4 linked regions of the Cricetulus griseus genome follow. The protein of the gene in region 1 interacts with the protein of each later gene in a pairwise test. Links are inferred from orthologs where the notes say so. Each region holds a gene or a part of one and is shown on either strand. Other genes may lie near its edges.

Region 1 (4,713 bases):
ACTTTAGGCCATGGCAGAAACTGTGTGGGATAAAGAGCTGGCTTAGGAAGGACATTAGGTAGCCTAGCAGAGTGGACTAGCCTTGAGATAAGGCAGATAAACTGGAATTCTTTAAGAATATAGTCATCTGGGACAGAGACACATGAAAGACCTTTCATATTTCAGGGGCTTGGGGGGGGATGGCTTAGGGATAAAGCACTTGCCAGGTAAACATGAGGATCAGAGTTTGTGTTCCCAATATCCACGTGAATGCCAGGTGGATATGCAACCCTCAGGAAGTAGAGGCAGGGGATTCCCCCAGCAGTCTGGTTAGTTGCAGTAGCCAAATCAGAGAGCTATAGGTTCAAGTGAGAGTCATCAGGGAGAATACCAGACAAAAGCCATCTTGTCTCCATAAACACTAGCACACACATACATACAGAAAACATCCATCTCACAATGAAAACACCACACCCTTTTTGGGAATACTGTTGTCTGATGCTTGGAAGACAACTACTCACAGACAGAGACGGGCTGGCCAGAAAAGTAAGAATGGGAACGAAAGACCTTACAACAAGATGCTGGACTTCAGACAACAGCAAAAGTGTCACCTGTCTGCAGGAAAACTAGATGGGCTAGGGTTTGAGAAGGAGCTATTGAATTTAGATACAAGATGCCACTGGGGACCTGGGGACTTGCTGTAAAGAGACTCTCTCTCTCTCTCTCTCTCTCTCTCTCTCTCTCTCTCTCTATATATATATATATATATATATATATATATGCATTTGATTGGGGGCTTACTTATAATTTCAGAGACATAGTCCATTATCATTAAGGCAGGGAGCATGTCAGCAAGCAGGCAGGCATGCAGTGGAGAGACACACTGGGCCTGGCCTAGCTTTTGAAACCTCAAAGCCCACCCCCAGTGACACACCGCCACCCACAAGGACACACCTCCTAATCCAAATAGTTCACCAATTGGGGATTAACCATATGAGCCTATGGGAGCCATTCTTCTTCAAACCTCCCTAGGGATTTAATAGTAAGAGAAGCAGTCTGAGGCCACTATTCAAAGAAAAGGCTAAAAAAGCTGGGTCTGTATTGTCCTACCTTATTTAGAGTGAATGGATTTTAAATACGGTTAAACTATTGATTACCGTTCTGCTTTCCTTATTGTAAAGCTAGATATTAGCAGGATGAGGTCTGCACAAAAGAATGAAAGGAGATAGCATCTCCGACTGGAAGGGGATGTCGGATATGCTGATTTTGTACCTAATGCTTTTTGGTCGGGCTATGTGCCAGATACTTTACATGGGAAGCAGGCAAACATCTCACGTGATAAAGTTGAGAAAGGTTGTGAAAGACACGTGTAAGGTGACACAGTTCAGGAAGCCTACAATCGTGCTATGATTACAAAGCCAAGCTTCCTCAGGTTACCCATGGCTGGAAACTTCCTTTAGGGAGGGAGGCAGCTGACTGGCCACTTAGGGTGAATTGTTTCTGCCTTGATAAGGAGGAGCCAAGGGCCAGGGTAGAATCTCATTAACATAAATGCGAGCTACCCAACCAGAAACTGAATTCATTTGAATATTAAGGCTTCCTTTGGAGAACCATGAGAGAAGGAGCTTGGAGAAGAAACATCTGGATTCCGGTGTGTAAGGCGTATGTGTTCCTTCCTCTTGTTCTAGGGTTCTAGCTTTCTAAATTTGCTTACAGGTTAGCCACTACTCAAGGCTGGTTGAGCGAGGGCGCCTTCCCAGCCTTCTCCTGTGCTAAATGAGAAATCCCAGGCTCCATAGAGCTGGCCTGGGCGCCCGGGAGGCAGCGGAGGTCGGGTTTCCTCTCCTCCCCCTAGGAAGTGGTCCCGCCTGAGAGGATGGAGTAAAAAAAGTGTCTGGTTGGGAAAGTAAATAGATGCAAGGCAAATAAATAAAGAAAATGCCCACAAGCAATTACTGGGAGGAAGTGACATTTTTATGTAAGTCACTTTTCTGACGGACACCAGGCCAGCTTGGCCGAGAGTGCCGTGGGAATGCTTTCGGGGAGGGGGGGTGATGGGGTGGTCGCTGTAAGAATCCAAGGCACAGCGGGGGTGCGGAGACCACCCGGTGGGACTAGCGGGCTGGAAGTAGCACTGCATTCTTTCCTCGTTCCCCTGCCCGCCCCCCAACTCCGATCGAGAGCGGGTTGCTGCCTAAAGCCCGCAGGCGGCGCTTTTCCCGGGCCCGGCCGGGACTCCCAGGTGGGTCCCCCGCCCGGCGCGCGCCGAGCTGGGCCGGCCCCTGGGCGGCGTCACGACAGCCGGGGAGGAGCGCGGGCGGGCGGGGAGCGCGCGGAGGCGGGCGCTGCGCGGGAGGGTCGCCGCCGCGGATCGCAGGCCGGGGCGCGCGGCCGAGCGGGCGGCGGCGGCGGCGGCGGGGAGGGCTCGGCAACGGGCAGGGCTCGGGGCTCCCGGCCGGCGGGGTCCGCCCGGGCCGGCAGCGTCCGCCCGGCGGCGGGAGGAGGGAGCGGCGTAGACAAAGAGCGGCATTTGGGCGGGCGCAGCGCGGCCGCCGCCCCGGGACCCGCGCCTCTGCCCTCCGGCCTCGGCGTGCGGTGTATAGAGAGGTAAGGCGACGGGCGGGGGGCTGCAAACTTGGTTGGGTCGGTAGAGTTGGGAGAGAGGGGCCGGCGGGCAGGGGCCGCCCGGGAAGGAGCAGGGAGCGCGTCCCCCCTGCGCGCCCCGCTGGTGCCCTCGGCCCCGCCGCGGCCTGGGCGTCCCCGGGTACCCGCACCTCGGAAACACACCTTTCTGCGAGCCCTCGCCTTCCCCAGCCTTGGGCTGGCGTGGGGGTGGGGCGCCCTCCTCGGGCTGACACCGGGGACCAGGACCGAGAGCCCCCGGGAGCACAAGCAGCCCTGGCCTGCGGGCGGGCGGGCGTGGGACCGAGCCGTGGCCCGGTCGCCGGGCGCGCGTGCCTGGGAAGAATAGCCTGGGATCTAAGGGCCCCGGCGCTAGGAAGCTAGGGGCTGCGATGGCCGGGGAGAACTTACTGTATTTAGAACTATAAGTGATCCGGCACAAAGCTACTGTCACGTCTCATACAAGAGGTCCGTGCCTCGGTGCAGGGCGCTTTTATGCCAGGTTCCAGTCCGTGTGCCCTGCCCCTCATTCCCAAGGCTTAAACCTCCAGAGCCAAAGTTTCTCTCAGCCGCCTTGCCCCTTCGGTTTGTTCAGGGCGATTTAAGCAAGTGGTTTTTGCAAGAATTTGATGTGGGACTTTTAATGCCCCGACGGCACCTCCCTTTTGAGCACTGTTAGCTTGGCATTGTGTGGAGGGGTTTGATTTGCAAAACGCTGTAATTTATACACTGTAACGATTCTCCCGGAAGGTGTGCGCGGGACTCTGGGTGGTGGTTAATGGATAGCAGACGTGACTTACAGTAGTATTGTGAATAGCTTGGGGACACAGCTGGGCGCTAAATAGCGTGGGCCCTGCCACCCTAGCCTGTTCAGGTCGGCAGTTTGTCCCTTATTTACTTTTCCTTATTTTGCTAAGAGGTTTAAAGGCTAATCCTGCCAAGTTTGAGTCTGTGTCTGGGATGAACAGGTCCCAGTTTGGGTTGGAGGTGCCCAGGCCTGCTCCTTGGTTGACCCCAAATGAAACAGCCCATTGGCCAGTGGGCATGGCCTGGAGACTCCTTTGCTGCTCCTCACCCATTGCAGGCTTTTCTGCAGGGGTTTTGAGGAGGAATGAAAATAATTTTGCATGTGTTTCAAGCCTGGGTTTTGGGTATAGTTATCAACAGTGGTTTTCTAGTGTAAAGGTCACCACTTTATCAAAACATCGTGGGCACTCCCCTCCATTCACTTTCCAAGTGTTTATAGATACAGAGATTTAGAAACAGACATTCGTGTTTAATATAGCGAAGGCAGCCAGTGGACACAAGGAGAAAGTGCACTTCAGTTAGTTAAGGTTTTAGACCTTGGGGATTGTTCCTAAATGACCACAAGGGACAGTCCTACCTTAAACTTTCTCACATTCTAGTCGGTTAATGTAGTTTTGATGGAAGAAAGAAAGGTCCCAGTGGTCTGAGGCTAAAATTGAGAACTTTGTGCGGCCGTAAAACTTGGAGTTACAGCCCCACCACCTGCCTTGCTCTCAGCCTCTTAGATGTGCAGCGACTCCTGGGTGGGGAGTTGCTGAATGAGCCCTGGCTGCTTGAGAGTTGATCAGCCCACCTGTGGAGAGACTGGCCCCTTTAAAATGGGCAGAGCAGATACAAGGTGGTTTCCAGCTCCCCGTAGTCCGATTCCAGGCTCTCAGTTTTGCATTCCCTACATGCTCCTTCTTGAGTCTTCTTCCTCCCTGTTCTGTTTGACCCTGTCATAGCCCTGACCTCTGTCATGTACTTTGAGGGACTGAACATTCCCAACAAACAGCGGCTCCCAGGTGTTGGGGAAATGTGCTTTCATCCTTGTTAAATCTCCCGTCATCTTTCTTGCTGGAGCAGACTAGATGACCCCTTGAAAACACCCGGAGACTCACTGATTGCATAGTGACCCTGAGTTCTTTATTTGATCTCTTGAATTAGCTTAATCTGCTCTGGCAAGGCCAGGCTGGGTTGCTCTGTACGGCACACATGGTTCTCTTAACTGACTGGCTTGCAGTGTGCACTGGGGGCTGAAATGGCTTGTGGAAATGATTTTCTGATGTTCAGAATGAAGTTTAATGATGGAAGAATTCCAGATTG
Region 2 (4,947 bases), on another chromosome or scaffold:
TAGCAGGGGCTTAACTGGTGTAGGAGGGGGTACTAAAGAGGTCCTCCCCAGTGATGAGTCTTTGTATTTGGTCTTGCCTCCCACCTACTGAAGGCTCTCTACTTTCTACTTTGCTTGGTCCCAGTTTTATTCTTTATGTTTTCTGACTACCTTTTACCAGCATCCAAATGCTCCCTGCATGCTGCCCCACACCCCACCTCCTTTCTAACTCTCGATCTGGTTTCTCTTTCGGAAACATGTTTCAGTACAAAGCGCTTCCCTTCTGACACCACTGAAGAAAAATATGTGTCCATTGTTGTGAGAGGCCTTATTGTGCCTGGATTACCATACTGACCGTTGGCTAACCCATATTCCTCCCCTCCCCAGTAACAAGATGCTGCGTGAGGTGCCCTAGTGGTTCCACAGATTCTGGGCTGCAGTAAAAATTCCACCTCATACTCTCTGGATTTTCCAAGGGGCAAAATTAATTAATTAATTAAATTAATGGGTGAAACAATTCAGGATTTAACTGTAAAAAGAAAGAAAATAAGGCTCACTCTTTCCCACTCTCTGAAGTACAGGTTTTTTTTTTTTAATGTATGTGCTTTGTTGTTTTAGGGATTAAAAATTACAACATGCTTCTTTCCTTTTCCTCAAATAAATTGAGTTTTAGATGGTATGCAATCAGGCAATTCATTTCATTTTGATTTTTTTCTCCCCCGGGCAACTGGAAAATCCCAAACTAAAACAAGATTCTTATACTATTTCTCCCCTTATGCATCCGTGTGTGTGTGTGTGTGTGTGTGTGTGTGTGTGTGTGTACATAGGTACGTGTATATTTTTGTCCTTTCCTAAAGCCAGCAGGCAGGACTAATGCATGAAAAAGAATATGCAAATGCTTAATTGATTTTTCCCTTAAATCTCTTGTCAGTAAAAGTAATGAATTGGTCTAAAATGATCTTAATAACCTGGACATGTCACTAGAAAATACTCAACCTTTTTCCCCCTCCTGGAATCGCTTATAGTATAAAAAGAGAGAGAGGAAAGAAAAGGAAAAGGCAATCATGGAATGTTAATTTGCCCCCCTTTAAAATATTAAAGATGAATTTCTCTTGTTTGTTTGGAGACCATAGGCTCGGTCCTCTTGTGAATCTCCCCCGCCTTGCCTTCCTTGGAATTCAATTTTCCTCAAATCTCGTTTAAAGTGGCTTTTTAAAAAGTGGCTGCATTTTAATATTGGTTAGACAGAGTGACCTGCATTTCACCTCGGGTGTTTGACTTGTTCCAATAGGTCACTGCCATGGGGTTATTGATGGGGAAACTCCATTGAAATTTGTCTCTTCGCAAATGGCCTTTAGATCTTCCAGCGAGTTCAATAACTAGTTATAATGTGGAAGGGGAAAAATGAAGGCCCTGGGCTAACGAATTTGATGCTTCATTTTTATGCTGGAGAAATTGTTAGTTAGAGCTTGGGTTTCCCCCACCCTCTGTTCATTCCAGCTTTGGTGACCCCCTCTCCCATTCAAAGCTGCTGGATTATATCTCCCATTAAGACTTGTGTTGAGGTATCCCTTTCTCTCTGATGCAAACCTTACTTATGAATATTGTTGTAAACTTACGGATGTTGGAAGCTTGCTTTGTTGGAGGTTTGAAACCTGAACTTTTTTGTTAAGGGAACTTTCAAAGGAGACTAAATATGTCTTGAAAAGATCTAGAGACTAGGCTGGCCATAGTTTAGAGAGGGCTCCGTGACTCCCACAGTTGAGGAAATTGGAAACTCTTTTGAGGCATTGATAGGGTATTTCAAGGTGCTGTGATGTGTTCCTGGCCTCAGAGCTTCCGGCCATATGCGAGATTAGGCACCCAGGACCAAGACAAGAAGACATGCAAAGACTAAGAGGGAATATTTCTTGATGGGCAAGGGAATCCTGTGTCTCCTCTAAGGTCACAGCAGGACTGTGAGGAATTGGTTGGGTAATTGCTCAAAGAACTAGAAAGTTGCTCCTCCAGGAAAGACTAAAGACACCAGGGCTAGAGGACTGGAGAAGGCAGGAGGGACGAAGGGGTGAAGACTATAAGGATTGCTTTTTTTTTTTTTTTTTTTTTTCCCTGGAGGCTCTGGAGTGGAAGAAGGAAGGTCACAGTAAAGATAGGGAAGGCTTGTTTTATTCTTCTCAACCACTGCCAAGTTGGGGAATGCCTGGCACCCCAGAGATCCTCTATGAGAAGGGGTTGCACTGAACAGTTCTGGGGTCCTTGACCCAGCCACAGCAGATCGTTACCATTATTAACCTCAATAATAACCTAATAACCGTGCATCTTCTTTATACAGAACGGAGCTCCTCGGCGCCTTATTCTCTCCTCTATGTGCCTTTCCTTCTCTCACCCTGCTCAAAGAGGCCCAGTTTGCTCAGCCCAAAATCTCCCCTGTAATAAACCCTGTGGCCTCAAGCCTCCTTCCAAGCCTCAGTCTGTCACCGGAGTCATCCTAAAGGTATGCCTTGGATCCTGGGCTGGGGGGAAACAAGGCCAGAGAGGATGCGTAAACTACCTCCCTGCTTCAGCTTAAACACAAAGGAGTTACGTGCCACCCCCGGTTCTCTGTCAAACTTGCCTAGGCATATCCGTGGTACCACTGGGATCAGGGAGCTGCCTCAACTGCTACTTAATCCCATAAAAAAAAAAACAAAAACAGGAAAGCCAGGGAAAGGGCTGTGGCAGTTGCCAGATCGGCCTGGGAGGGGTCTGAGGCTGCTCTTCCTAACCCAGCTGGGACCAGCAGCAAGGAGCTCTGAACTTCCCGCGGCGGTGGGGCGCGCCGGGCCGGCAGGCCAGTCATACCCGCCTGCTCTCCACTTCGGGCCCCCAGCACCTAGACCACAGAACCCTGGCTCCCCGGCCCAAGCCTCATCCCTCCCTGTTTTAATTACGTGATTGATTTTTCTCTAGGGCTGCTTCGGGACGACTCTGTCTCCGAGTGTTTAAATCTTTCGGCTCCCTTTTTGTATTCCCGAGTCCTCCCGAGATGTGCCAGCGGCAGGCGCGTTTCCGGGTCCCTGGGCCCGCCTCGCTTTACACTCCAAGGAAATGGCCAGGCCACACCGTCCTGGGCGCGCCCGCCGAGGCTGCGAAGACGTGATCCTGCCCTCCCGCCTGAGAGTCACTTTGTGCTGCGCGACCCTCCCCATTTGAGCTGTTCCCTGGAGCCTGGCCTGAGAGCCCGGCTCTGGGTTTGTGTTTCTATCTACCCCCAAGAAAGTGTGAAAAAGTCTGAGCTGATCCTGGAGGAAGCAGCATGCGGCTCGGACTCGCAGCCCTTTGCCTAGTGAACACCTGGGCTCAGCGCTGGCGTGCGAACAGCATCCCAGGGAAGCAAATCCGACTACAAACGACTCCAGGCGCCCTTGGGACCGTAGGCCCTGAGGTCCCGGCTGCGGACCCCAACATGCATCAGGCGATGGGGTCCTATTGTTATCCCACAGCCAGAAGGCCACTCTACTTGGCCGCCCCAGAAGCAGGAAGCGTCCTTTCAGGGTGGTTTCAGTCACCCAAGCCCCAGGACCGCGGTCCAGCCTCTTCCACTGCAGGCGCTGCAGGTGAGGCAAGGAAGGGGAAGGGGTAGGGGTGTTAAATTAGAGAGGAGTGCGTTAGGGTCGGGATGGAAGTGGAGGATTAGAGTCAAGAACCCTGCCTCTTCAGAGGAGGAGGCCGACTGACCTCTTGCTCCCTTTTCCCATCCGGAAGGAGAAATTTTCGACCTCCCCAAACTGCTGGGCTTCCGCTCAATCTCTTTATTTACAACTAATAAACACTTCTCTGCTTCCTCTCCCATAGTCATGTACATTCTTTGATGAGTCACTAATAGCAGGAGGTTTTGTTTTTTGTCTTTTTTTTTTTTTTGATGCTATGTAATTTTTCCACAGAGAGGAGGGGGTCAGGACGCCTCTCATGTGGAAGTTCAGCGAATCTCGGGTTGGTCACAATCCTTTTCCTGCCCTCCTGCTCTACGAAGCCGCAGTTCCTCACTTCCCATCCCTTCTGCACAGTAACGTCGCCTGGTAAATAAGAGTCCGTCTGCTTGGCTATTAGGATTCTGGAGACGTTGGCATCTGTAGCAATCATTAGTCAAAGCCGCAGAAGCCAAAGCAGCCGAGGAGTTGGACAGAAAAAATCTTGGAAATGATATACAGGAGCTGAGGAGGCATCAATCCCGCCGATAAGAGCGCGGCTGCCGCGAGCAGGCGGCCAGCTTAATTGGGCCCTGGGCACCAAGAACAACGCGGGAGGGGAGCTTAGGGTTGTACAGTGACCTGGCATCATTTGGGCACCTACAAAAATATTTAGGACTTAAACACATTTCCTCCCAAGTTTAAAAAATTGTGTGTGTGTGTGTGTGTGTGTGTGTGTGTGTGTGTGTGTGTGTGTGCGCGCGCGCGCGTGCGCGCGCGCCTACAAGCCCCTCACCCCTATGAGCAGAGGCACTGCACTGGATTTCTTCTGGGCCACTTCTCGAGTGGTACTGAAATTGGGAAGCTAGAGCTGGGCTCTTAGGTCCCAGCTACAGCCTAGAAGGAGGCTATGGTCCCTATGGAGGGTTTTCACAAGTCGCATAACTAAGCTGGACTAGATTTGGAGCTAATCTTGGTGGTAATCGACAAAATCATTTGTTTTACATTTACTTTACATCACATTCAAGTGATACTGGATCCCCATTCCCACTCACTAGATAGTTTTGTAGGTCAGAAGATGCTTGCAGTGGGACAGACAGTTGTAGAAAGTTTTTTTGGGGGGGGAAATCTATGCCCTTACTCCTAGATGCTTGTGAGGACTATCTCTAAACATATGTTCAAATATTTGAAGTTTGCAGAAAAAATGGTAATATTCTACAAATATCTCCATATACATAGCTTCAATATGTAGCTATTTTATGGTCTGAGAACCTTGAATAAATCTAGATAAAAAATTTCA
Region 3 (4,855 bases), about 210 Mb from region 1:
ATCCCCGTCTATCGCTCAAAACGCCACATTGCCTGCACCATTCACACCCTTTCTGCTTAGCTTCTTCCCTGCATCTAGTTTTCTGTGCTTGTCGCATTTATGTCTGGGGACCATCGTGTCCTGCCCACTTTCATTTTGTACTGGTGATCCTGGGTAGGTGTCATACCCTGTCACTCCCCAGCAGTATCAGGCAGCCAAAGCCAGATCATCTCCCCCAGGACTGGCGTCCGGAGGGTAGGGACCACCTCTAGCCAAACTGGACCTGGGATAGAACTCTCACTTCAGATGTATTTAGACACTTTAAAGTGTCTTGTTTTGTTTGGGGGGCGGTTTTGAGACAGAGTTTCTCTATGTAGCTTTGGAGTCTATCCTGGCACTTGCTCTGGAAACCAGGCTGCCCTGGAACTCACAGAGATCCGCCTGCCTCTGCCTCCCGAATGCTGGGATTAAAGGCGTGAGCCACCAACGCCAGGCTAAAGTTCCTTTTCTTGTAATGGAGTCTGAGTATGTCAAGGTTTCCAGCCAGTGCATGAGGTCTGCACTCCAGCCCTACAGCGGAGCCCAGAGCCATTACCATTCTTCCTGGGTTCGTCCAGAAACTCTCACTGAGTCATCCTCTAAGTAGCCAACTCTTCTCCACTCTGCAGAGGGTTCCAGGGGGTGAGGAGGGGAAGGATGTGGAGCAAACACTCTCCCCACAGGTGATTCTGGGAAATGCCCGTAGGTAAGCCTATGGAGCACTGTGATGTGATGGAGGAAGAGTGGTCTCAAAGCCACTAGTTCACAGAGGTCTTTAAATAAGATTTCAGATGTTCTCTCCTAAAGAGGTTACGACTAAGCTCGCTGTCTGGTGTGTGCTTTAAGCGTTCGTTTGCTAAACGTAAACACTGGAAACACACTACAGCTTTCCACCTGTTATCAGCTTGCTTTCCAAATACCGGGAACGCCTCCCTCCCCCAGTGGAAGAAGACCGGTCTCTCTCAACCCTCTCAGAAGCTCTAATGTGTATCTCCTCAAAGTAAGGGCCAGTGAAGAAGAGCGGTGACTGGGGGGGAAGGCCGGCAGGAGGGGTTTAGAAGGCCAAGAGCTCGAGTTCAGTGAAACTCCCGATTCCAGGCCCTCTGAAAGAGTTCTGCCCTCTTCTGCCCACGGTCTCCACCCCAACTGCTCCAGGAGCAGCGAGAGCCAACCTGAAGAAGAGAAAACAGGCCCAGACTGGCAAACGAGGCTAAAAATGCAGCGCAACCGGCCAGCCTGCGATCTGGGGCTCAGGATTCACGTCCTCTCTCAAGGGCCAGGATCTTTGTTCAACACCAGACTCCAAGTCAGTGCCCGGCTGGACCTCCCCGGATCGCTCCCGCCGCCCCCTGCAAAGTCAGCGCGGTGAAAACGCCTGGACCCCGGAGGCGCGGCGGAAGCCAGCGCGTTCCCTCCCTCGGGAAAGACAGATGTGGGGCTAATGAAAGGGAGAGAGGGAGAGGCGTGGGGCTGGCGGGGGAGAGCGGGGGCGTGGCGGGCAGAGCCGAGCTCCCCCGAGCGCGCAGTGCAGACCACCCGCCGGTCGGCCGCGCTGGTCCGGAGGAAGAAGGTGCGGGGAAGAGGGCCGGGCTGGGGCGTGCAGTTTGTGGCCCGAGGGTCGGGAGCTGAAACTCAACACCGCCTCGGAAAGGATCGTCCCCTTTCTCCGCAGCTTCCCCTCCCCCCTTCCCCCTCTTCTCTTAATCCCCTGGACTGAACCCCTCGCGAGAGGAGTGGGCCCGAGGGGAGGAGAGAGAGAGCTTGCTGAGGGGGAGCGGGAGCCCGGGCAGGGGAGGGAAAGGGTGAGCGGTGCCACGCGCGACCCCGGACCTCTTCCAGCCCTCAGTGTCCGCACCCCGGCCCCAGGCGAGCCCACAGGATTGCTCCTCCCCTTCACTGCTCCCTTTGCTCTGTGGCCTTTTTCTTCGTTCCCCAAGACACCAGGAGCTTCCCTAAGCTTTGGGGGCGCGCCGGGGGCCGGGTTCGGGGAGCGTGAGCCAGGACCGGGCGCCCACGGGCGCCGAGACCGAGAGTGCCGGACGGCCACCTCGGAAACCCGGCAGTGCTGAGAAGGAGTGTGGCCGGGAGAGCCCGGCTGGGCGCCACGCGCTCTGAGGCCTTGGGCGCCGGCCTGCCTTTGCGCTGGCTGACTTGAGCGACTTTAGAGACACGCAGTTCAGTTCTCGCTTTTCCTCCTCCTCCTTCCCCGCGGGTCGTCCCGCCGCAGTGCCCCGGCTGCCGCGACCACAGCCCTGGGAGCACCGCTCTGCGCCGCTGGGGGAGGGTTGGCCCCAGGAGTCGTTCATCCAGCCCAACCACTCGGGCAGCTTCTCCCAGCCCTCGGGGCTAGCCTGAGCTGCCTGGAGAGGCGTCGAAAGCAGCAGCAGCTCCTGCCTCCTCGCCTCGCTGGCCGGGGACGTGAGCTTTGGGCCCATGTGTGTCCAGGAGGCCTCTGCAGTCTAAGGCCACAGCCGTGGGGGCCTAGTGGCCCCCGAGAGACCCTGGGGACAGTTTAGAGCGCGCCCTTTGGATGAGGTCCCGCAGCGACGCCCAGGCCCGCCCCACTCCTCCTCCTGTCTGGCCAAGCTGCCTCCCATTTGGAAAGTTTTGTGGGTTTTCTTTCTCTTCCTCCAACTTTGGGGGAGGCAACTCCTCAAGAGCCACAGCTTGGGGTGACCTTCTGGCTTGGAGGCCGGGAACCATGGTGAGGGGCAGCCATCGCTGAAGTCAGCGAAACTGAGCCTGGTCTGAAGCAGGCGACGCTGGAGTCTAGAGCCATGGCCATTGCCACGTCGGTGAGTCCACCAAAGAGAGGAGGCTTGCCAGGCAGAGACCTCCAACCTGCTCTACCCATTCTCTCTTCTCCCAGGAGCTGTGTCCTCTCTTTTGTTTCCTTTCTCCCTCTCCCTTTGCCTTCTGGGCCTCAGTTGGCCCCTCCTCCCCCTCCCTATTCTCTTTCTTTATAGTGACTGTGGATAGATGGAGGGGGTGGGGGTGTAAACCCAGTCCTATCTGCTCTTTTCTGGGTGGGAACAGATGGACATTGGTGGTTGGCAGGGGCTATGATTGGGAGGTAAGTAAAAGGAGTTTTCTGGCAAAGACCATGCAGCCCACGGAAAATGGACGGCCAAGGAAGCCCAACTCTAGAGTGTTGGATAAAACCGAGCCTATGAACAGGCCGGGGAAAATAATATAGAGGAGGGGAGATGGTATCAGCTTGCCTGGGGCCAGTTTCTGGTAACTGGGGACAAAGAGAAGGGACAGTTAGCATGTTGGGATTGAGGGAGGAGGCCTACCAGAAAATGCAGTGGCACACTGCCATCCGAATAAGTCAGCCATTCCCTCACAAGTCAGCTAGGCCCCAAGGAGGAGATAGAGTAGGGGTGATCACACCCATTATCCATCATTCTCTCAACAGCTCTGGCCTGGGTTTAGGCAAACTGCAAAGCATGGGCCCCATTGGCTAGAATTCAAACCTAATACAGGGAGGAGCCATACAGCCCCACCTCTGCTCTGCTTTGGAGTCAGTATAACAAACCCATTCCTCCTCACACTTGGGCAGCCCTGCAGGAAGGCCAGCCACCACCTGCTTTCCTGCACTCTGGCTGTGGGGAGAGGAACTAGGAAAGTAAAAGAAAAGCATGGCGCGGCAGGGCACCCTCCCATTCCCCTCGAGGATGGCTCCAATTTTCATTCCTTAGACAAAACCCTTTGGTCCTCCGGTGGCAGGGTGCCTTTGGGAGTGCCAGAGCTGCTGTCAGGATCCTGGAGTTACAGTCACCTTTGAAGTCCAGAAGGTTTATGGGGGAGAGGTATTTATGCTAATGAAACTCACAGGCTCATAACAATAGTAATATTTACAATTTGCTTTACACACCTGGCCCTGTGCTAAACTTTGCCATGATCTTTTGATACATTGTCTCATGAAGCTCTCAACTTTATGAGGACATGTTATCATCCAAAAATAGGTATTTGGCTATAGACAGAAATTCAACACAGGAGGAAAACTACAGTACAGTGATGTTAAAACCACTTTGAGGCATCCAAGCAAGCAAGGGACTCAACCCCAAGTCCACCTGCACTTAGAACTTTGCCTTTAATCTCTGGCTAGGTCCAGAATACTAATTTCTAGTTTTCAATTAGGAGAGGTGTAGGGGACGTGGCTCAGTTGGTAAAGTGATTTCTGCATGAACTAAGGACCTGAGCTTGATCCCTAGCACCCACAGAAAAAGCCATGTGCTGGAGTGCCTGCCTGTAATCCCAGCACTGGGGAGGCAGAGGTAAGAGGATCCCAGAGACTTGTCGACCAGCTAGTCTAGCCAAATTTGTGAGCCCTGAAGGAAGACTCTTAAAATAAATAAAGTGGAGCGTGATTAAGGAAGATACTCACCATTAATCTCTGGCCTCCACATTCATGAGCGCACACATGGAAGGGATGGAGAGCACAGAGCCAACCAGCAATCTGTGTTATCTGTTTAGTGTGTTTCTTTTTGTAGACTAGATCTCTTAGAAGCTGCAGTATAATCAGAAATAGTGTGGTGAGGACCAGGCATGTAGCTTAGTGATGGAGCATTTGCTTGACATGCAAAAGGACATGAATTTGACCCCAGCACCTTGAGGAAGGAAGAAAGGATAGGTGGTTGTTTGGGAGCAAAAGAAAAGAGTGAAAGGGCTGGATGACTTGCCTTCTAGCACAAAACGGGATGCAGAGGACCAGCATGCCTGTGAGTGAGCTGAGCATCCTTCTTCCCCTGCTGCAGATGGAGATTTATGTGTTTGCTTGATGATAATGACGTTTTTAATAGTATTAGAGATTGAACCCAAAGCCTCAAACATT
Region 4 (4,760 bases), on another chromosome or scaffold:
TTATTACAAGCTTGGCTATTCCAGATGAGAGGAGGACAAAAGCATAATCATTACAAGCTAACTATATAAGATAATGCAAAAACACAGTAACAAAGCCCACAACAGTCTTTAACCTCAAAATCAAGCAAGTTTCAGGAATCAGATATCTCATGAGAAATATCAACCCTACACTCCTTCCTTCCACATTTCTGTACAGATATTTTAGTGATATTGTTTAACTTTTCCTCTCTTCAGTTTTAAATTTCTTTGTGGTGCTGGGGACAAAACACAGAGCCCTATGCATGTCAGGAGAGCAAGTGCCCCACCACTGAGCTATAGTCCCTGTCCTCTCTATTTTTTTTAGAGTACCTTCCTAGCTGACAGGCTAGCCCAGGACTGTTCCTGTAACCCAGGCAGGGCTTGAACCTTGACTCTGCTGCCTCGGCTTCCCAAGTAGATGGCAGTACAATCTGTAGCACCAGGCTCAGTTCTTAATATTTTTATTGACGTATGAGGACCCAACTAAACTTACATAGGCCAACGGATACCACACAAAACTTAGGATCAAATTCCCCAATAAACTCACTAAATGACATATTTCGCTGGCAAACAGTGGGTCCCTTTCCTTTACCAACAAAAATATTAATAGGGTTTTAAAAAAGGGGCTATAGCTGGCCTGAGCATGACAATCATGGTCCTGGCAGGCCCTTTGCCTCTTCCTTGCTAAAAATCATTAGATTACATTCCCAAAGCTGGCCACCAGGGTATGTCTACTCCCTCATTTGGCCAGTGCATCTCCCTGAGGCTATCAAAAGCTGCAATCAAAAGTCCCTTTTTGGCTAACCTAATTAACATAAAAAACCCTCATTCTAATACTGAGTTTCCTCATTTTCCTTTATAAACTGCCACTGGCCTATGGGCCCGGTCTGTTTCCTCTCTGTTCTAGGAGGGACAGTCCTTAGTCTCTTCAGGACAAATATCCCTTCGCAATCTCCCTCGTTCCTCTTCCTTGTCTTCCCCTTTGCCTTTTATTCCCTGCCCTCTGTCCCTCTGGGACAAAGAAATCTCCTTTGTGCTCAGAACTTGTGTCTTGGGGTGTCCTGAGCAGACACCAGTTCAAAGAGAAGGAGGGGAGGGAGGAGAGGAGGAGAGAGAGGGGAGGGGAAGGAGTTAGCCGTCACCTAGGATTTAATAATTCCCCACACTTTCTGATTTACCAATACAAATTCCCACATTGCAGACAGTCACAGACACCAGCTTCGTCAGGCACCCGTCTGGTTTTCCCTTTAGAGGGCAAACTTAAATTGGAGGCACTCTGAAGTCCTAGCTGCCTTCCCGCTGAGTTGAAAGGGGGACAAGCTGGAGAGTTTCGCAGGGTCAGGGGGCAACGGTTAATAACCCCCTTGCTGCTCCCCTGCTGACACCAAGCTGGAGCGAGCCCAGAGCAGCGAGCGTTGGGGCGCACGGGGCGGACCGGAAGCGGCGGCGGGCGAGGGGTCCGCGGGCAAGAGATGCCCTCCGGGCGGGCACGGGGTGGGTGGGGGTGAGGAACTCAGTTCCGCCCAGGGTACCTCTCATCTCGGAAAAGCGCCGCAGCTTCCGCAGGCTCGCTTCGCGCAGAGACGCCATGGTCCCCGCTTCCGGGAGCCCGCGCCACGCCCCCGTCCCCGCCCTCTGCCGCGCGGTTACGTCACCGCGGCCAGCGCCCGTGCGCATGCGCGTCTCTCGGGGTAACGTTCTGCGCTCGCACATGAGCCGCTCTCCCTCGGGGTGCGGGGCTTGGAGGGGCCTGCGCCGTGGGCTTCCGCCTCTCCACGCCTGACAGCCCGCGGCGCGCCCGAGGGGAGCCGCCCGTAGACCACGGTGGAACCATCATCCGGATGCCCAGGTGACCCCGCTCGCCCAGAGCTCGCACAGAGTTCCCCTTCCCGTCACCACGAGGCCGGGCCACACCCTGTCCGGCCCGGGTGGGATGCTGGATGGAGGAGCAGACCACGCTGCCGCCGTCACTCCGCCGACCTCGAAGTCAGGGTCTTGAACCTGTGTCAGCATCAGGGCTCGCAGTTGTGTCCCCTGGCTTCTCAGAGAGATGCCACCACAGGTGTAGATGAGGGCAGGAAGTCAGCCTGGCCGAACATGGTCCCGTTGGCTGATCATATGTCTTTCTCTCCTAGGGATCCTGGTTTGCAAACAGTTCTGCAGAGAGTGGTCTCTCCATTCTTACACATAGCATAGAGAAAATGACATTTAAGGAAGACGTTTCCATCGCAAACCCGGAAATCCTGTCATCCCCTACAACTTGGCTTCAGAAGTCTCTCTGCATGAAAACCTTGCTCAGAATTCTGCAAAGCAATTTCCTATGAACTTAGCTAAGATTCTAAGTAAGCTTAGCTTCTTTTTTTTTAATTTAATAACCTGACCTTAGCATTTAATGCTATGAGGAGGCACCATGACCATGGCAACTCTTATAAAGGAAACACTTAATTGGAGCTGGCTTATAGTTCCGAGATTTAGTCCATAGTCCTCGTGGCAGGAAGGCCAGTGGCACACAAGAACACATGGTGCTGGAGAAGGAGCCCATTCAACCATCTTGATCCACAAGTAGCAGGAAGAGACTGCCCCACAGGGCTGCCTAGAGCTTCTGAGTCCTTAAAGCCCACCCTCAGTAGCACACTCCAAGGCCACACCTCCTAATAGTGCCACTCCCTATGAGCCTATGGGGGCCATTTCTTTCTATCCATTACAGTAAGGCAATTTAAAGATAACATACAGGAGGACTTCATGCCTGCCTTCCCTGTCCATGCTGGGATTTGCTCCATGTGGAGCTTGTGCAGTTGTTGTCACATCTGCTGTGAGTTCACAAGTGCAGCTGTCCTGGTGTACCTAGAGCTTACCCTCTTCAGACTTCCCTTCCACTATAATCGCTGAGCCTTGGGAGGAAATGGTGTAGCATAGATTATCAATAGAGAAAGCCGAGCATTGTACATTTTTAATTCTCTACACATTGACCAGTTGAGACTCTTTGCGGTGAGTCTAGTGATGTATCTCTAGGAGTTAGTTTAATGCTGTGTCTGTTTAGCTGATTATAGGCTCTCAAGCAAAGCCTTATGACCTGTCTGGCACAGGTTCTTGGTGTCAGGTATGGGCTCTCTCTTAAGGAGGGTGACTTACATCCTGAAATTCAAATCAGAAAGCTGTTGAATACCCCCTGCGAAATTCTTTCCTCCATTGCACCGGGAGGTGTATTTTCCAGCTCAGTTATTATAACTTGTAAAAATCCTACCCCTGGCTGAGAAGCTATGGACAATTTGTAGGTGCTGGGAGAGGGATTGTCAATTTTCTTTAAGACTGTGACCTTTAAGAGGTTCACCATGTTCAGTGGATGACCTCACACATAATGAACTTCAACAAAAAAAGGGAGATAAATCTGTTTGAATAAATACACTGCTGAAAGTAAGTTTCAAAAGAAAAGATGGAACAATCAGTATGATAAATAATTTGAAATAACAGCTTTATATACACAGTGATGTAGTTCTATAAAATTACAAACATCTATGTGTATTATTTGTTTACTAATGCAGTGAATCATATAGTCACTTTCAATTGGATAGAGAGAATCTTGATACTGTATGTGGATGGATGCTGTTTGTAAACTCTTGACCGATGGCTAGGGCTTCTTATTGGCTAGCTCTGTCTTAATTATTAACCCATTTCTATAAATCTATGTATTTCCATGTGGTATTGGCGTACTGGAGAATGTTTGGACCTGCTTTTCCTTTGGTGGCTACGTGGCATCCCTGCTTTTTCCAGAATCTCCTAGTCTCCTAGTCCCCCTATCTTCCTGCCCCTATTGGCCAGTGTTTTGTTCATCAACCAATAAGAGAAACATATATACAAAAGGAAATCCCCCATCACCCATATATTTGAATACTTGGTCCCAAGATGGTGGAACTTTTTGGGAAAATTAGGAGATGTGACCTTTTTGGAAGATGTGTGTCACTTGTGACAGGTTTTCATACACCATTCCCAGTGTGCCTTCTCTGTCTCCTTCTTGAAGATCAAGAGGGAAGCCCTCAGCCATACATTTCTCACCATCATGAACTCTAACCCTGAAGATATAAGTCCAGTTAAACACTTACAGGAGTAATAGGCCAACACAAAATGGATTCCATGATTTTTTTGTTGTTTATTTGTTTTGTGTATTCATATGTGCTTTTCTTTGGTGTTTTTTTTTTTGTGTGTGTGTGTGTGTGTGTGTGTGTGTGTGTGTGTGTGTGTGTGTGTTTAAGAGACAAGATGAAGTTAGAGAAGGTGGTTGGGGAAGAGTTGGGGGATGGGAAAGAATATTGTAACGATTAGTCTTTACTCCATCTGCCCAAGCCCAGTTGCCACTACATGGGCACTTTTCCACCAGCCACCCGAGTTCCGCTCAAGTTATGCCCACCATGTTAGGGCCCCAAATAATACACAGAGAATTATATTAGGTACAAATGCTGCTTGGCCAAAGACTAGGATTTCTCATTTGCTAGCTCAGTCTTATTTATCAACCATAATCATAAGACTTATCTTATGGAGGACGCCTCGCACTGGCCTCCTCTTGCCAGGATCACATGGTGGCTCTGTAGAGAAGAGAGCAGAGAGCAGGAGAGGAAGAGCAAGAGGATAGCTTCCTTCTTGTCCCTGCTTATATATGAGTCTGCCTGCTATGTCACTTTCTGCCTGTATCATAAGACTTCTTTTTAATACATTTCCTGGAATCATCCTTGACTCCTAATCCTGCC

What was found.
Region 2: the proteins of Nck2 (region 1) and Hoxc4 interact in binary tests that used the Homo sapiens proteins (3 or more experiments, as listed by UniProt). The two-hybrid records come from large-scale screens. The link is inferred for Cricetulus griseus from reciprocal best matches to the Homo sapiens genes NCK2 and HOXC4.
Region 3: the proteins of Nck2 (region 1) and Efs interact in a two-hybrid assay, tested with the Homo sapiens proteins (2 studies listed by BioGRID and IntAct). The two-hybrid records come from large-scale screens. The link is inferred for Cricetulus griseus from reciprocal best matches to the Homo sapiens genes NCK2 and EFS.
Region 4: the proteins of Nck2 (region 1) and Lrriq3 interact in binary tests that used the Homo sapiens proteins (3 or more experiments, as listed by UniProt). The two-hybrid records come from large-scale screens. The link is inferred for Cricetulus griseus from reciprocal best matches to the Homo sapiens genes NCK2 and LRRIQ3.

Annotation. Positions count from the first base shown.
Region 1 is NW_023276807.1:5,069,364-5,074,076, reverse strand, and holds the start of Nck2 (cytoplasmic protein NCK2), read left to right. Parts: upstream 1-1,494; 5' UTR 1,495-1,630; exon of another isoform or gene 1,631-1,641; intron 1,642-2,399; exon of another isoform or gene 2,400-2,586; intron 2,587-4,713. UniProt on the Homo sapiens protein: Adapter protein which associates with tyrosine-phosphorylated growth factor receptors or their cellular substrates. Maintains low levels of EIF2S1 phosphorylation by promoting its dephosphorylation by PP1.
Region 2 is NC_048595.1:399,400,582-399,405,528, reverse strand, and holds the start of Hoxc4 (homeobox protein Hox-C4), read right to left. Parts: upstream 3,030-4,947; 5' UTR 2,910-3,029; intron 2,474-2,909; exon of another isoform or gene 2,312-2,473; intron 1-2,311. UniProt on the Homo sapiens protein: Sequence-specific transcription factor which is part of a developmental regulatory system that provides cells with specific positional identities on the anterior-posterior axis.
Region 3 is NW_023276807.1:210,120,427-210,125,281, reverse strand, and holds the start of Efs (embryonal Fyn-associated substrate), read left to right. Parts: upstream 1-1,826; 5' UTR 1,827-2,795; coding exon 2,796-2,813; intron 2,814-3,314; exon of another isoform or gene 3,315-3,447; intron 3,448-4,855. UniProt on the Homo sapiens protein: Docking protein which plays a central coordinating role for tyrosine-kinase-based signaling related to cell adhesion. May serve as an activator of SRC and a downstream effector. Interacts with the SH3 domain of FYN and with CRK, SRC, and YES.
Region 4 is NW_023276806.1:4,341,317-4,346,076, reverse strand, and holds the start of Lrriq3 (leucine-rich repeat and IQ domain-containing protein 3), read left to right. Parts: upstream 1-1,731; 5' UTR 1,732-1,867; intron 1,868-2,220; exon of another isoform or gene 2,221-2,360; intron 2,361-4,760. Other genes in the region: Fpgt (fucose-1-phosphate guanylyltransferase), read right to left, coding at 1,551-1,731.